Linked DNA regions of Nothobranchius furzeri. The protein of the gene in region 3 purifies or fractionates together with the protein of the main gene of each other region. This does not show direct contact. Links are inferred from orthologs where the notes say so. Each region holds a gene or a part of one and is shown on either strand. Other genes may lie near its edges. The genes, in order: serine/threonine-protein kinase Nek9, hspd1 and ambra1b.

Region 1 (5,839 bases), on a different chromosome or scaffold from region 3:
GAGAAAAGTAGTAGCAGGATGAGTTGAAATGAGTCCACCCAGAAGAACATCTGCTACAAGATGTACCTGGAACAAAGAAATATGTTTGTGTCGTCTTAACATATTCAAAAATTGTAATCATGAATTGCATTACACATCTGTCTGACCTAGAGCTGACAAGTTGGCCAGTAGGTTGGTATTCTCTGCTTGCAGAGCTTTAAGCTGTCTCTGGTAACCATCATTGATAAGATTCAGCTGATGAACTTGCTCCTTTACTTTTGTATAATTTTGCATTGTCCCTTCAGCTTCAATCCCAGTGCTCTGGTTGCTACAGAGATCGTTCAGCTTGCTGAACAGCTGTAAGGCTGCAGAGTGATAAACCTGAAGGGAGTCCTTTTTGATTTTGGCACCTGAAGAAATGAAAACACACTTGTAAAACAATTGGAGTGGGTCACAAACAATAAACTTGAAGATTGTCATTTATAAATTTGAGGTAAATAAAATTATATTCACAGCCAAGATAAGATTATAATGAAAGTTTTATTGTTTCAGATCTTTACAATTCATGAGGAAAAACCAAAAATTGTATTTTTATCTCTTCTAACTTTAAGGGATGTTGAAACATTTCTGCAAGAGGACTACAACAAAAATAAAAGTACATTTAGCAAATTGCTATAAATGAAATCCTGATGAACATTGTGAATGATACTTACAGTTTGCACTAAGAGCAACAGCAACTATGAGTAACACAACGTTCAGAAGTCCCAGACACAGATTAAGAACGTTGTAGTTTTCAAAACTGTATCCACCTGCAGTAATTAAGCATAAAATGTTGACTTTTGTTAAATTGTTCATGTAATTTTGAACAGTGGGTAGCTTACTTGCTTTATTTAAAATTAAATAGAAAAGAAAAAGCAATTTCTACAACATATTTGATTTTGCAAAGCCTTTGATGGGAATTTCTGTGAACTTTGGTTAAGAAAACAGGTCATACCTTGTCCAAATATTTTGTAGAGTCTGTGGCGGAATTCATTTGCTCGTTTGTATGTTTGCTCCATGACTGTGGTGTTGAAGGAACTGCTGAATAATCTGGTTGGTAACGTTTTTATACTCATGAGCGGAAGATAAGGAATTTGTTCTCCTTTTATGTTTGGTCAGATGTTTTAATAATTTGACTGTTCAGAAGAACTGATGATTTTCTCATTGGCCTCATTTGACACATACTTTTTACAAGTTTGTTAGAATAGTTTTATTAATTTGTTTTACAGGTTTATAATAAGGCATCATTTTAAATTACTTTTCTACGAATAACCAGCACTTTGTTTATTTTTGTCAGGTAAAACAACTGGATTCCTGCTGACATAAATAAAAAAATGTGAATTTAAAAATGCCATAATTTGAACTACATTTTATGCAGATTTGAACATTTTGCGATTGTTTCCGGGTCAAAAGAAACTAGGGCAAACTAGTCAAAATTGAACGGAAATCTTTGTAAACATGTTTGTAACTTGCATACTCAACTCATAAGTTTATTAAAACTATTAAACAGAGTAAAAGTAACTACAAACTTCAGGATTTGGTAGCTGGAGCTGATCTTGGTGGCTAACTTGTTAGCTTAATAAAGCTAAATGTTGAATGGACCGAAAGTGTGCCCGGAAACAAACCCTACAACCTTTCAGAGTAAAGTGTATCACTTTGTGTGTGAATTGTAAACATTTGTTTTGAAAATCCAAAGAAAAGTTATCCAAGTAGAGTCCTTTCAAAGTTTCGTGCTTGATGTTTGTTTAACTACTGTACTTGTACAAATTTTGCTACGATACATGTTTGGTATTCCACGGCACATGTGCTTTAAGGAGTTTATTTTATAGTTTTTACGTAGCTTTATTTCTGGGGCACCATGTTACACGTGCGCGCGGTTTTATGCGAGGTTTTCCAAAAGTGTTTTCGCTAGGCCTCGTCGTGTTATTTCCATCACTGTGGGTCTGGTTAACAATTGTCGGCAGAAATGTCACTGGAGGACTATGAGAGACATTTTGACTCGCTGAATTCGGATTTGGGTGGCGGTGGGTCTGTTGTCAGTGAACGATCAAGTTCAGGCTTATTTGCTGGAGAAGAGGAGAAGTTGCATTACATTCCTATCCGGATCCTCGGGAGGGGGGCTTTTGGTGAAGCAACCCTGTACAGAAGGACAGAAGTAAGTTGGACCCATTTTAGACCCATAAATTTATATTTTTTTAAATCACAGATGACACAAAGTATATATTGTCCCACAATAAGTTTCCTGGTTGATTACAACCCTTCAAACACTTATTTTATAGTAATATACATTAAAGCTCATAAACAACTTGGGACATTTTCCTGGGGATGGTTTTCAGACATACAGTATTTTTGTATTTATACGTAGCTTTTGTGCAAATCAGCTTATTTTGATTGCACACATTGTGTACAATCCACGTTTGTTATATTGAAGAACATAAAACAATCTAAAGAAGCCTTGGAGCAGACATGTCCAATTGTGGCTCAGGGGCCGCTTGGGACCCCTGGAGTAATTTAGTGCGACCCCGTCAGCATTACCAAATTTTAGTTTCATTATCGTTGGTTTTGACTGGATCTTTGGTTGTTTGTTTAGTTTTACTATAATGAGGCCTTAAAACTAAAAAGTGACTTTTTTAAATGAAAGGAATTACATTTTTCTGATCTGCAAGGACTTTTAACTTGATAATTTTGGCCCATTACTTGACAACATTGGACACCCCTGACTTGTTTTGTCATGTTTATGTCAAAATAGAATATAAACAGCTCCTTTTCCATCCTTTAGATCTCTTTGCAGCTAAACTAAAATCCTCTGCTCATTTGTTGTCTGCACAACAGAGGAATACATTATTTTCAGTGAACATAGATATAAGTTATAACTGCATAGAAAGAACCATACAGTACCCAGGTCAAGACCAACGAACATCTACTCCACTAAAGGGTTTGTATTAGCCTGGCAACCTGTCCTATATATGTAAATATATATTCTGGCCACAACGACCCATAGACAGAGCTCAGTTACGAGGCACACGCTATGGCTGTCTTTCAATCTGTCTCTGCATGCAAGTGGAAAACGCTAGGACCAATCAGAGCAATGAACAATGTGATGCATTCATGGCAACTGAAATCAGATAATGTGGCAGTCTGCCACACACACTGTTGAATAAAAAGACATACCTCTATCTGCTTATGCCTCAAAGAAAAGCCCCATTCTACATCATCCAGAGTTGATGCCAAAGCTGTTTTAATTGAGCGCCGTTCCTGGGCTGCTGCCATCTTTGTTGTTTTGCTCTGTTGTCATAAAAAAAAGAGCTCTGCCGTCATGGTACTAAGCCCGCTCCAACATCTAGAGTGGGCTGGCCTAAATTTAGCTGAGCCAATGGTAGCCTTGCTGAGGCTACTATGTGCAGCTAGACCAACCAACTAGGCTAAATCTTCTGCTACTGCTACGGTTGGTCTAGATTTCTTGGCTAGGTCTGTTTGGTGGGCCGTCCAAAAACATGAGAGACAGAAAAGAACAATTTGTTTGAACCTTACTTGGTAATTTAGTATTCTGTCTAGGACAACTCTCTGGTCGTATGGAAAGAGGTGGACCTGAACTCGCTCTCAGAAAAGGAGCGTCGAGATGTCACGAACGAAATCAGCATCCTCTCCATGTTGGAGCACAACAACATCATCGCCTACTTCAATCACTTCATGGATAAAAACACTCTGCTCATTGAGTTGGAGTATTGCAATGGTAATTAATTGGTTTATTCTTGATGATCATCATGTGTAAACAAATGCTAACACAGGTTATAATTGCAGGAGGAAATCTGTATGATAAAATTGTTCAGCAGAAAGGGAAACTTTTCACTGAGGAGGTACGAGAGCATCCTTGTAGGTGTTTTATTGAAAACACAACCTTTTTGATTGAAGTGAGTAATATTTCAAATGTTTCCGTAGCTTGTTGTTTGGTATCTGTACCAAATCGCCTCAGCAGTGGCACATATTCACAACGCCGGGGTCATACACAGGTACGATCTGTAAACTATGTGAATATTCTATGTTTTTCTTTTTTGTGAATAAATGGTCTTTTGTTCTTTTAGAGACATCAAAACTCAAAACATATTTCTGACCAAGACCAACCTCATTAAACTGGGCGACTACGGCCTCGCCAAGAAGCTAGGCTCTGAGTTTTCGATGGCAGAGACGGTACGTCCATCAGGATATTTTATGTGAGCAGAAATGACCCAGCATTGATCTCGACCTGTTCTTGTTTGGTCCAGTGTGTGGGAACTCCGTATTACATGTCCCCTGAAGTGTGCCAAGGCACAAAGTACAACTTCAAGTCCGACATTTGGGCAGTGGGCTGTGTACTTTATGAAGTTCTGACATTTAAAAGAACATTTGATGCAACGGTACGTCTAACTAGCGTCTCTTCTTTATTATGTCTATCATTACATCGGATCGTTCTTCCTCTGTGATGCATTTGTAGTTTGTTTCCACGTAGAATGCTCTGAACCTCTGTGTGAAAATAGTCCAAGGAAACTGGACTATGGAAGTGAACTCGGATCTTTATTCAAGTGAAATAATCAAGTTGATTTATGATTGCCTCAATCAAGTGAGTAGGAGAAATATCCGTTCTTGTTTTGGATAAATAAAACTGACTTACTTGAGAATGAGGGGATCTTTGTGTTGCAGGATCCTGCAAAGAGGCCCACAGCTGAGCAGATCCTGGATCAGCCATTCATCGCCTGTTGCCGACAGTAAGATTTTATAAAAGCGATTTTTAAAATTTTCTACTAGTAAACATGAATGACTCTGATTACTTTTGAACAGGGAGCTGGAAGAGCGAGTTGTCATGCTTAATTCTGCCATGAAGAAACCAAAGTAAGTTCACATCCACCATTTAAAGCCTCCCTGATATTGTGCGAGTTTGATGGCACTGGTTTGTTCCGTCTCATCCAAAGGCTGAGCACAGTGACTGAGACACCCGTTGCTGTGGTGACCACGCGCACAAGGGAGGTGTATTTTTGGGGAGGAGGAAAATTCACCCCCCAGAAGCTTGACTCGTTCAAAGGAGGCAGCAGTGCCCAGCATGTTTGTGCAGGAGAGAGTCACTTTGCTGTGGTGACTGTGGAAAAAGAGCTGTTTACCTGGGCTGTAAGGAGGAATTCCTCACTTTCTAACAGATCTACTGGTCTGTTTAATCTTTACTGATCTATTTTTTTTTCTTTTTACACTTTTAGAATGTTCAAGGTGGAGCCAAGATGGTGGGCCAGCTGGGGCAGGGGGACCAGGCGTCCTACCGACAGCCGAAGAGGGTGGAGAAGCTCCAAGGGAAGGCGATACGTCAGGTGGCGTGTGGGGCCGACTTCACTGCCTGTGTGACAGGTGGGTTGAGAGAGCTTCGTGCTAAAACACGAACACGGGGAACTCTTCATTTACTATTCTGCTTCCTTCACAGACGAAGACCAGCTCTACATGTTTGGGTCGGACTATTACGGCTGCATCGGAGTCGAGGGCGAGATGGGGATGGAGGTCTTGGAGCCGGTGCTTCTAGAGTTTTTCGTGGAGCGGTGTGTCCGGCAGGTTTCCTGTGGAGACAACCACGTGGTGGTGCTGACTCATAATGATGGCATCTTCTCATGGGGTTGTGGAGAATACGGTAGGCTTCTGTGGTTTTGTTTGTTTGTTTGTGCTTTAATAACTTCAGCCACTAGGGGGAGAAAACACTCTTTCATAAAAGCATATGTAGATATTTGTCTTGCTTAATGTCATTACTTTTTATAATTTTTATCATAAAAAATCCTTAAAAGGTGCTACACGAACAAAACATCAGTAT
Region 2 (5,986 bases), on a different chromosome or scaffold from region 3:
AAGGCAAAGCGGATTAGAAAGTAGTTTTAGCCTAGTTGACTTGCACTCATTTTTTCGTTCTTCTGGTGACCCATGAGCCCACCGGAAAAGCAAGAGACTTCGGCTCCCTATAGGGCGCTGGAGAGCATAGCAGCATCAAATTGGATGGGTCTTCTCACTCTCCAAAGTCAATGCAGAATGGGCAACTACGCCCGTTTTGGGCAGCCTACTGTTGCAACAACATGCGTGCTGTTGAAAACAGATCACGTGGGATTACTACTGACTTTTCTAACCTACCTGATGGGACTTTATATTTTAATTTACTTTCATTTATTTAGTTTATTTATATTTCAATTATCTGGTTTTGTGAAAAAGCTTGATAAAATGTGTTTTTAGTTGAGTAAGCACCTTCCTCGGTAGAAATGAATGTACTAGGGGCGAATGGAGACCTATCTAGCATGGTAGCTGGCCACTACGGCAGCGCCAGTCCATGGGGCGTCTACAAACATGTCTGTTAGAACTAGAGGTGTGCATCGGCAAGAATCTGGCAATACGATATACATCGCAATACAAGAGAAAAGATACAACGTATTACTATGCTAAAAGCCAGAAGAATTTAGCATTTTTAAAGACTGGACTTAATTAGAAAACTCAGGCCTCAGCTGAGCTCTGCTTCAAGACACACCCTGTGTTATGGTGAAATCTCATGGTTCCACCAGAACGACGGTGGTAAAAACTGCTGCCACCTAGCAGTCAGAGTTTGAATTGCACCGCAACAAAAGAAAGACAGTAAATGATTTTATGTATGCACATGCTTAATAAAAAAAATATGATGCACTGCTTTTAACAGAAATTCAGAATCATACCACAAACTATTGCAATAGTTATTGTATCGTTATTTTCTTACATCCCTAATCAAAGCATAAACATAATGAGTGGAAAGATAAAATATTTTTTAAATGCTAACAAAGCAGCTTAATTTAGACTGTGGCTGTGTAGTATACCTACATTTGTTGTTTTACCATTATTTTTCTCTGAAAATATTGTAAAATTATATGAATAAGGGTTATGGTTACGCTAAGAATAATCAAAGGTCACCCATGTACAGGTAAAACTAAAATTTAGAATATGGTGCAAATTTTAATTAATTTCAGTACTTCAGCTTAAAAAATGACAATAGTATGCAAGATAGACTCATTACATGCAAAAGCCTTTACTTGGTATATTTGTGATGATGACAGCTGATGGAAACCCCAAATTCAAAATCATAGACCATGAGATAAAAACAAGGATTTTAAACTGAGAAATGTCAGACATGTGAAGAAGCATGCATACGTTGGTTTGGGCCCATTTCGCCTTTACTGAAATAAATTAACTTTTGCACCGAGTTTAAATTTGTCCAGTTTCACCTGCAATTCAGTTTGCCACCTTTTTAAAACTACCCTCGGAGGGGTTTCAACCCCCGCAGAAAAAAGATCGCAGGTTTGTTGGTGAATTTAACTTTTAAATATGAGTAAATGAAATGCACCACGTTGTTGTGCTGTCTAGCCAACCTGATACAGATGCAACTGTCTCCCTCCGATCTCAGGAGTATCATTAACTCAAACATGAGGTAAAGCTCCTTCACTGCTCTCTGCTTGGCAACGTGACCTTGTGAGTGGATGTTAGCATTCTCTACGTTAGCTACTGACATTTTTGCAGTGAGATTTTAGACTAAAAAACCCACAGACATCCATTTCTGCCTTTCTAACAGGTCCCTGTGCATTCCGCTTGAATGAAACCATTTTACGTGCTAGTTCTTACCATTTCTACACGTGCGAATGGGTAGAGAGCCGGAGACGAGCAGCACAGCAATCAGAACCTGTCTGAAAAGGAGTCACTACACACGAGGAAAGATCCTGAAAACGCATGCGCACTAAAGCCCTCCTCATGGAAAGTTCTGGTACACCCAAGGCGGATTACGAAACTCTCTTTCATAAACACTCGCGTTATTCGCGTAGATTAGAATGGAGTAAAGTTAATCACAAATGATTTCTCATTTATTTAATTGAAATTGAGTTCTCTAAGCAGGCGCAATGTTGCACAATGTCAACTTTGACCTTTGTTTTTTCCTCCAATTGCGCACGAGAACATTCTGGAACTGTCAGACCGGGAACGAGCATAGATAACAATTATTTCTACAAAAGACAAGTAAACAATCACACAGTTGGTCAGAACGCAGGAATACATTGAAAATAAATCAGTTTAATGAAGGATTATTGATGTGAATCATGTCATTAAACGAAATGTAACGCTTAGTTTACACAGGTATGTTTATACAGAGTCCCGGGCGGCCCGGTAAATAACCCGGATGTAGTAGACCATGTGCAGTCCTGTAGCTGCTCTTGCTCTTCTGTTCGGCTGTTCCTCCTCTCCTCCGTACACCAAGCTGCCTGACAGTCTTAGCAAGTTACACGCTCTAACCTCGCAGGTAAGTCGAAAAGAGTTGTTTTAAATGGCCAAACCACGACGTGTGTCTCATTGGCAGCTGCTTCCGTCTGCATATGTTGTCTTAATGTTAACTCATAGTGAGATAGCTGTTCATCTGAGCTCGCTGCACTCCGGCCAAACTACAAGGACATTTTGGTTGAAACGGCTCTACGGCCTTTAACACACATTTGGAATATCCTCGTAACCGCGTTGTTTAATGCTAACCCTTCCACTGTAACGGATTCCGTTTTCTTCTATTTCATAATGAATTGGATCAGTTTGATTTGGCCCACGTGATTGTACTCGCGGCAGGAGTTAATACTCCCCTTCAAGGTGTAGGGATGAGGAGGCTGCTCTGCGCGTGCGGCGTGCTTCTTTTGACCTTGTCAGGCACGAGCTGCAGCGCACGTGGGGGCAACAACCAAAAAATATTTAAAAATATATATATTTTGAAATTCTCTAAAGTTTCGTTACACGTTCTCGTTTGTTTAACATAAAATTATTTTCTAAGAACTTTCTTTGAACTTTTCAGAGAACTTTGAAATCTTTCTGAGTGGTTCTACAGATAAATGTCACGTGATCAGTTTAACTACCAGACTAGTTAAAATGTTCCATCATCAATCTGACAGTGTGTTGAATAATAGCAGGAGATGGGGAATAAGTTCAAATAGGATGACAAAAATGGTGATCAGAATCAGGAATGATTAGGAGCTGTGTTCATGTTTAACTGTTAGGTGGATAAATCATTAGGCAAGCATTTAAAGCCATTACATTTCTAAGAACATAAACTCTCATGGCTAGCTGTTACACGTGAAATATGTATTTATTCCAGGACCAGATACTTTAGTTATCCATTTATTCTGTATAATTTGGTCCATACCATTTATCACAGTTGGTCAATTATTGAAGTGCAACTTTATTAATCTTTTTTTCTTTTCTTTTTTTAAGAGATGTTTCGTTTACCCACAATTATGAAGCAGGTCAGGCCTTTGAGTCGGGTTCTAGCTCCTCACCTCACACGAGCCTACGCCAAAGATGTGAAGTTTGGGGCTGATGCCCGTGCCCTCATGCTGCAGGGGGTGGACCTGCTGGCTGATGCAGTGGCTGTCACAATGGGTCCGAAGGTAAAAAAAAAAATAAAAATTCTAACATGTATTGCTTTATTGTCTTTTATTTTTGAAATATGATCAGTCACTGAGATTTGCATGCAGTCTGAACATAAAAATAGTCTTAAACCAAAAGTTTTCTGCATTTACTGAGAAAAAGGCTGGGGAAGGCTGTTTTGGTTTAGTGGCCAGGAGAGAGTAGAGCACATCTCGGCTAGTAGATGCTAACCATTAAAACAGAAGTCTGAGAGCTTTTATTCCACAGAAGACCTCACAAGGCGTTCATTCTAGAGACCACAGCACATTCACAGAAAAAAATATTAAGACCTCTAAAAGAATAGTAATTTATCTTCTTGCCAACAAATATTTTAGGCAAAAGCGACATTGTATAAAGATGTTTAACCATGGTGTTTGTTATAAAGTTTTTCTCCACTTTTCTCATTTCAGGGTCGCACTGTGATCATTGAGCAGAGCTGGGGAAGTCCCAAGGTCACCAAGGATGGAGTGACGGTGGCCAAAAGTATTGACCTGAAGGACAAGTACAAGAACATTGGAGCCAAGCTTGTGCAGGATGTGGCTAACAACACCAATGAAGAGGCTGGCGATGGCACAACCACAGCTACGGTGCTGGCTCGCGCCATTGCTAAGGAAGGCTTTGATAACATCAGCAAAGGTGCAAACCCTGTTGAGATCCGCCGTGGGGTCATGATGGCTGTGGAAGCTGTCATCAACGAGCTGAAGAATCTGTCCAAGCCTGTTACGACTCCAGAGGAGATAGCACAGGTATGATGAGGTTGGGCTTAATTGTTCATGCTCACCTGAGTGTCTGGAAAGTAAACCTGATGGTTAAATGTGAAATCTCATTTCAGGTTGCTACGATCTCTGCCAATGGAGACGTAGAGATCGGTAACATTATATCCAACGCCATGAAGAAAGTTGGTCGCAAAGGAGTCATCACAGTAAAGGTTGGTCATTGACTCCCTTTGATGGCTGGTCATCAGGTTTAAAACGCATACAGGCCATGGGTAATGTTTCACGTGTCTCAAATTAGGACGGGAAGACTCTGCAGGACGAGCTGGAGATCATCGAGGGTATGAAGTTTGACCGTGGTTACATCTCGCCTTACTTCATCAACACCGCAAAAGGTAAGGCAAATCAGTCTTCGTGGTAGGGGTGGTTTTTGATGTTTAACTGATCTCATGTGTGTTCTCTCTCTGCTCAGGCCAGAAGTGTGAGTTCCAGGATGCTTACCTGTTGCTTAGTGAAAAGAAGATCTCCAGTGTCCAGAGCATTGTGCCAGCGTTAGAGATCGCCAACCAGCATCGTAAACCTCTGGTGATTGTTGCTGAGGATGTGGACGGAGAAGCCCTGAGCACCCTGGTTCTTAACAGGTGCGTCTTGTTTGTTACATGATCCCAGCAGAACCTGGTGAAGTGTTGGACCTCGTCATGGCGTAAGGATTTAAACAGATGGTTACTTATCATTGGTGTGCCTTTCAGGTTAAAGGTTGGGCTTCAGGTGGTCGCTGTTAAAGCTCCAGGCTTCGGTGACAACAGGAAGAATCAGCTGAAGGATATGGCCATCGCCACCGGGGGCACTGTTAGTCCAACTCTCTGATTCAGCGTTATTTTTAAGGCTGGAGTTCGATCCTCGCTGTATGTTATTGATTTTCTCCTCCCTTTTGCAGGTGTTTGGTGATGAAGCTCTGGGTCTGGCTCTTGAGGACATCCAGGCTCATGACTTTGGCAAAGTCGGTGAGGTGCAGATCACCAAAGATGATACCCTGCTACTGAAGGGTGGAGGCAACCCTGCTGACATAGAGAAACGCGCAGCAGAGATTGCTGAGCAGCTGGAGCACACCACCAGTGACTATGAAAAGGAGAAGCTCAATGAGAGGCTGGCGAAGCTATCGGATGGTGTGGCTGTGCTGAAGGTTTGACTTGCTGCTGCTAACAGATGTTTTTTCTGCAGGAACAACAAAACTGACACCTTTGTTGCTCTTTAGGTGGGAGGAACAAGTGACGTAGAGGTGAATGAGAAGAAGGACCGTGTGACCGACGCTCTGAACGCCACGCGGGCTGCAGTGGAGGAGGGCATCGTGCTCGGTGGAGGCTGTGCTCTGCTGCGCTGTATTCCTGCACTTGATGCCCTCAAAACTGCCAATAGTGACCAGAAGATCGGTGAGTAGAGTGCAGTTGGCTCTTCGTGTGTTCATGGAACTGCTACGGTCCTAAGTTTGTGTCTTCCGTTCAGGTGTGGACATCATCAGACGGTCGCTTCGTATTCCTGCCTTGACCATCGCCAAAAATGCTGGAGTGGAGGGTTCTCTGGTGGTGGAGAAGATCTTGCAGGGACCACCAGAAATAGGCTATGATGCCATGCAAGGAGAGTTTGTCAACATGGTAGAGAAAGGCATCATCGACCCTACCAAG
Region 3 (5,910 bases):
AAGTGTGTTCTCTGCATGTGACCCATCCTCAGGGGGAGCGGTAAGCTGCAGACACAGCTGCGCTCAGGAACTATTTGGTGGTTTAATCCCCCAATCCAACCCCTAATGCTGAGTCTTAAGCAGGGAGGTGTTGGGTCTATTTTTTTAAAGTCTTTGGTATGACCTGACCAGGATGTGAACCCATGACCTCCCAGTCCCAGGGCGGACATTCATACCACTAGGACACTGAGCTGGTAGTTTAATAGCACCATGTACTTTTCCACTCATCTTTATCCCGCCCACGTTCTCAGAGATTCCAACGTTCCTGAAAAGTGTGTCCAAACAACACCCCCCCCCCCCCCCAGCCCGGGCAGGACCAGGCCAGATGTGGAAGTGGCATTGGCTCCCACTCTGTTATTGAAGTCATTTAAAAATTCTTTTATGTATTTATAAACACCTAAATGGTCGTGAGCTGTGCTATCTGTCTGACCTGCTGATGGCACACACCCCTTTGCAAACTTACGTCAGCTGATCGCAGTCTGCTGACGAAGCTTTGGTCCCAGATCTGCAAACTGATTCACTTACGGTCACTCACCTGCTTTGTGTTTGACCAAAATAGTTGATTTTTCTGCAAATGTTGTGTCTCGTATGGTTTATTTATCATTTAGCATGTGTTTTTACTGTACAGCACGTTGGTACACATTGTTTTTAATCAGTGCTTTATAAATAAACTGAATTTTTATTTTAATATCTATTAATACCAACACAACAAAGCATAAAAATGTGAAGTGGAGTGAAACTGTGCTGCAAATACACACACTTCAGATTTTAATTTACTTAGATTTTTGAAAACCATGTATCCATTTCATTCCACTTCACAATGTTGAGCTACTTTGTGTTGGTTTTTCACAGAGCATCTCAATAACAAACATTTACGTTCATGGTTGGAAGGTGTCATAATGTATAAAAGTTCAAGGAAAAGCAGCTGGTTGGCGAGGGAACCAGGCTGGTACTCAGGTTTGTGCAAATGTATATTTTGTCATGTTTCAAGGATAAAGTATAAACAGCAGATATACGGTCTATTCAGAGAGATTTAGGCCAAAAGGTAGCCTGGCCTGCCAGACTCGTCCTCTGTTTAATTCTGCAGTTTAATTCTCTGTGCAGAATAAAACAGAGGAGTCTGGCAGGCCAGGAATCCAATTGGTAGAGACAAACAAACAAACAAACAAAAAAAAAAAAGAATTTGCAGGAAGATGTGAATGTGATTCCTACATTCATGTAGTTTTAAAAATCTTATTAAGTAATTAAAATATTTAGAGTGCGTTACTCACACTGAATAACTCCTTACAAATGACATTTTGGGGCGTGGTTTCTGTACTCTGTGGAATGCATTTTAAAAGTAACCTTTTCAGCACTGCCTGATCTGGCCACAGTGAGTCTATCTATAATAAAAAACGCTAGTGCACATGTGTTTGATCACGGTTTTATTTCTGACATTTTACCAAATATTCAGCGTTTGAAGCCCAAGAAGCACCTGTTTCTAGGGGGTTTAAATAAATAGAAGAGCAACTTCTCAATGTGAAGGATAAATAAATACATTGGATTTGTCATCGGGTTTAGTTGTGTAAATCAGAATTAGCAAATCCTTTTTTTTTACTCAAACTGTTTGATATCCACAGTTGGTTGATATTTATACATAAAATGATCCGTTGATCCAACTCGGTGCTCTGTTAATAAACCTGCGCAGCTGCTTGTTAGCAGCTAACTGGTTACGCAGCACCGTCTTTAGGCAGCTAATCAAACATCGGACCAAAGCCTAAAAACACCCTAGATTACTTTTCCTTTTATGAAAATGAACGTTTCCCGCTGACTTCAGCGGACGGTGCTCGGTTGAACAACACTGATACGCGGATGTTACCGTTAAAGATTTAGTTTTGTTAGCAGCCGCATTTCCCATTTTTGGCCGAACTAGCTAAGGAGCTAACCGAAGATAGCCTGTTAGCGTCTGTTGATGGCGGAGCTGCGGAGCCGATTTTAAAGAAAGGTAAGTCAAAGTATCTGCGCTTTCATTGCAGGATTTTATACGTGAAGTCCAACTGTTTGTAGTAAAACATGTTTTATATCTGAAGCCAAAATATCTGCGGCTTAAATGTACTAATATGTAAACAGAGCTGTGATCTCTACAGGTTAAATACTGAAAATGTCTGCAATCTACAACGTAAGGATGTATTTGAGCCTGGAGAGGAATAATCAGACTGAAACCTGAAATAGTTAAGGGTTGTTTGTGCAATCACAAGTTGGATAACGCACTACCTATGTAAGTGTCGGGTTTTGAGATGGTGAGTTACTGGTTAGATCAGGGTTAGTTACAGGGTAGGGTTAGGCCTCATTGTTTGGTGGTTTCTGTCTCTATTAACAGGTAACAGTTGATTTATACAGAAGAGAAAAGGTAGAAAAACACTCAGAAACACTTTAAAATGCTCAAACATTTCAGAAAGTCTGTCTGAGGTAACATTTTAAATCATTTTCCATCTTTCAGGTTAGTGTTGAACCCACTCATTACTTTTCATCGTACTTTATTTTGATCGACATACATACTACGCTACCTGTCAAAAGATTTGGAACGCCCCAATTTTTCCAGTTTTTATTGGAAATGATGCAGTTTAATGTCACATTGCACGCTGAAATTAAAGCATGGTACAAATAAGCAATTGTAGTTAATAAAGAAATCATGGAATAAATCAGGTAGTCAGGTCGTGTTTCTTTAATCTTTGCCGGCTGGCCAAACTAAAATCTGTCCTGAACAAAAAAGATCTTCAGTCAGGTGTTCATGCTTTTGTACACGTCTGGACTATGCCAATTCTCTTTTATATGGTATTCCCTCCTCTTCAGTGGTACGCCTCCAATTGGTACAGAATGCTGCTGCAAGGTTTCTTACGTATACATATATATACATACATACATATATATATATATATATATATATATATATATATATGTGTATACATATGGTATCATACAATGAGCTAGCGGTTTCAGAACAATAGAAAATAAAACAGATTAAAGTGTTTAAAATAAACAGTTCCCAGAATAATGGTGCAAAATAGTGGCTGGTCGAGGTAGAATCTTCAAGTAAAAACAAATCACAAAGTAAAGCACACTACCAAATTGTAGTATGAAATACTATCTAAACTTTACAAAAAAATATGCAAACCAAACCTAACAGTAGATTCCACTCAGAAGTAAAATTTTGTTAGATTTAGATAAGTGAGGGAACGCATTTTGTAGCTAACAAGCTCCGTCGTTCTCTTGATCTGGAAGCAGTACGCTTAGCTTTAGCTTAGCATAAAACTATGTGAGTAAAAGGAAGGTTCTATGCTAGAATTGTGGTGGCAGTGGTGTACAAAGATGCCTGATTTTTGAAATGTTTAAATTGGTTTTTAAAAACAACTTTGGCCAACAGAGAACAAACTGAATATATCGCCCGGCCACTAATCAAAACAACAATACTCGACTACATGAGCAGAAGCAAAAACAGCGTAACAGAGAGGCTTGTTAGCATGGCTTCTCTTCTTCATCCACCTTTTCTTACAGAATATATCAGTGAGAGTGAAGCCGTCAAAGTTCAGGTCACGCGTGAACTAGAATGTCATGCCAAGGTAGCACAGCCACAGGTGTTTCAGAAACGCCTCCTACACCTGCTGTAGACCAAACAAGTCAGGGAGCTGCTAAAACGCCAAAGAAGAGTCTCAGGAGCTTTTTGAAGGGACCTGTTAGTGGCAAGACAGATGTAACTGCAGATGAACTTCTATGAATAGCCCACCAGTCAGTGTGATCCTGTTTTGTGATGGAAAGTTCACACTGCAAACTTTCCCAGCATCAGCAGATTAGCTAAGAAATACCTCTGCACTCCAGCAACCAGCTCTGCATCTGAAAGGTTGTTCGGCACAGTTGGAAGTTGCCAGCGGTCCTCCCTTAAGCCCACATCTGTAAACATGTTGGTGTGACAAAGAAAACTTCAAAGTTGAGATGTAGAGAACTTCCATGAGCAATAGTGTTATTTGTCCATGTTTTTTTTTCATTCAACAGTTGGCGCAGTTTTGTTATTTGACTTATTTATTTGGCACACTGCAGTTTTATGTAGAAAAGCAAGTCTTCTTAAATTTAGTGGATATTATACATGGTTTATGCTCAGGATGTGTCGGCTCATTTCCACTGTCCCTTGACTGTAGAGGACCTCTCTGGATTCTGGGCTTTAGTTTGAGCCTCTGATAGTTTTTTACTCCACACACTAGTTTAGGTGTTGAGCTCCATGCAACATCCCAGCTCCGTGCTGGACAGAGTGAACTGCTGGTTCAACTCCCCTAAGTCTGTGCTCCCACTGAAGAGCTGCTTTTTTTCTCTCATCCTCTGCATGGCGATAGCTGACTGACTTCAGTGGGAGTCACATAATCAGTCAACCCCCCTCATTTCCAGGATGACGTCCCATCAGAGAAACTCGGTCCAGATCCTGTCCAGCAGGGAGCGGGGGTCCCAGAACTTTGGCTCTCAGAGGCTCCTGCAGCTGCTGGTGGAGGAGAAGGTCCGCTGGATGAAATGGCAGAGTCAGGTGTGTTTGAAATGATTGTGCTATTAGTTATTAACAATAAATTGACATTTTCTGTTTCAGAAATGTTATTTTTTACATTTATTTGAATTCCATTTTTTGGTTATCTTTTACTCAGAGTAGTAAAAGCTTTATTTTGGCCTTTTTGGTCGTCACAGCATCACCTGTGACAAAGGATAGGAGCCGAAAAGGTCAAACTAGGAATGCACCGAAATGACAATTCTTGGCCAAAATGGAAAATGAGGAAACCAAAACCAAAACACCAGAAGAAATGATCATGTCAGTAATTAGAACCATATTATTTCTGGCTACGATGTGTACTAACCTCACTAAAGTCGAGACATTGCAGTAAATCAGTTACAAAACCATGAAAGTGTTCATGTAGCACTGACATAACAACAACACACAATATAAATTAAAACTAAAAATCAAACTTTTCACTTGAGCATACTCGTGTACATTAAATAATAAATGATAAATTAAAGTAATAATTATAAATGTGCAGGTTTATAAGACTTGCTGAGGACTGTAAAATGAACCCTTTATGCACCAAAGTTGCAATATTGCATTTAACGAGCCACAGCTGCAAATATCCTCACTCATGACGTTATTGCTTTACACCAGAAGATAGTGGGGATGTGTAACTTCAGTCGGAGTAACACTTCTGGGTGTTTCTATTGAAATAGTTGGATTTTATAGTTAGAAAACTTTGAGGTTTGAAACAAAGAAGAAAAGTTGTGTTTGTTTGTGTTTGTAACAGAAAGTGGAGCTCCCAGATAGCCCTCGCTCAACGTTCCTGCTGGCCTTCAGTCCTGACAGGTGAGACACACACACACACACACACACACACACACACACACACACACACACACACACACACACACACACACACACACACACACACATCATTTTGTTGCATTCTGAACTGGATTTTTTTATCCACACTTTCAGTAACACATATACGTGTCTAGTAGGGGTTGTATGAACTAGTCGACCTCACTGCTCTGTAGTGACTTTGTCATCGATTAGTCGCTGTCACGTGATAATAAGATGCAGTCCTCGGAAACGACAGCAGGTGACGAGCCCCTGCGCGTCGGGAGGCGGAGGCGACGCGCTGTGCCAGAGCGTCGGTACTGACACCCGCCATAAAATGGACATTTAAACAAATTGTGACCTTTTCCCTTTTGCAATTTAAACTTCCCCTCACTCCCATCCTAATCTTAACAGCTTGCGCATGCAAAGCTCTGATCGTTGACGCGCTCCAGACATCTGCGTCCTGAGCACGGTGTACCTGGTGGTTGCAACAAACAGACACCACTGAAGGT

What was found.
Region 1: the proteins of ambra1b (region 3) and serine/threonine-protein kinase Nek9 purify together in Homo sapiens (affinity purification with mass spectrometry; 3 studies listed by BioGRID and IntAct, with this or other methods). This does not show direct contact. The link is inferred for Nothobranchius furzeri from reciprocal best matches to the Homo sapiens genes AMBRA1 and NEK9.
Region 2: the proteins of ambra1b (region 3) and hspd1 purify together in Homo sapiens (affinity purification with mass spectrometry, with the first as the bait; 3 studies listed by BioGRID). This does not show direct contact. The link is inferred for Nothobranchius furzeri from reciprocal best matches to the Homo sapiens genes AMBRA1 and HSPD1.

The regions. Positions count from the first base shown.
Region 1 is NC_091758.1:32,478,482-32,484,320, forward strand, and holds the start of serine/threonine-protein kinase Nek9, read left to right. Parts: upstream 1-1,751; 5' UTR 1,752-1,984; coding exon 1,985-2,173; intron 2,174-3,561; exon of another isoform or gene 3,562-3,573; coding exon 3,574-3,751; intron 3,752-3,819; coding exon 3,820-3,875; intron 3,876-3,957; coding exon 3,958-4,028; intron 4,029-4,100; coding exon 4,101-4,206; intron 4,207-4,280; coding exon 4,281-4,412; intron 4,413-4,504; coding exon 4,505-4,615; intron 4,616-4,695; coding exon 4,696-4,760; intron 4,761-4,833; coding exon 4,834-4,884; intron 4,885-4,964; coding exon 4,965-5,157; intron 5,158-5,243; coding exon 5,244-5,388; intron 5,389-5,461; coding exon 5,462-5,662; intron 5,663-5,839. Other genes in the region: asialoglycoprotein receptor 1-like, read right to left, coding at 1-66, 147-389, 693-788, 974-1,094.
Region 2 is NC_091754.1:36,097,325-36,103,310, reverse strand, and holds the start of hspd1 (60 kDa heat shock protein, mitochondrial), read left to right. Parts: upstream 1-2,315; 5' UTR 2,316-2,449; intron 2,450-3,396; 5' UTR 3,397-3,398; coding exon 3,399-3,572; intron 3,573-4,001; coding exon 4,002-4,337; intron 4,338-4,423; coding exon 4,424-4,519; intron 4,520-4,605; coding exon 4,606-4,699; intron 4,700-4,776; coding exon 4,777-4,945; intron 4,946-5,053; coding exon 5,054-5,153; intron 5,154-5,241; coding exon 5,242-5,487; intron 5,488-5,559; coding exon 5,560-5,734; intron 5,735-5,807; coding exon 5,808-5,986. Other genes in the region: MOB-like protein phocein, read right to left, coding at 1,783-1,785. UniProt on the Homo sapiens protein: Chaperonin implicated in mitochondrial protein import and macromolecular assembly. Together with Hsp10, facilitates the correct folding of imported proteins.
Region 3 is NC_091744.1:80,388,733-80,394,642, reverse strand, and holds the start of ambra1b (activating molecule in BECN1-regulated autophagy protein 1B), read left to right. Parts: upstream 1-1,794; 5' UTR 1,795-2,023; intron 2,024-4,403; 5' UTR 4,404-4,456; coding exon 4,457-4,588; intron 4,589-5,345; coding exon 5,346-5,404; intron 5,405-5,910. UniProt on the Homo sapiens protein: Substrate-recognition component of a DCX (DDB1-CUL4-X-box) E3 ubiquitin-protein ligase complex involved in cell cycle control and autophagy.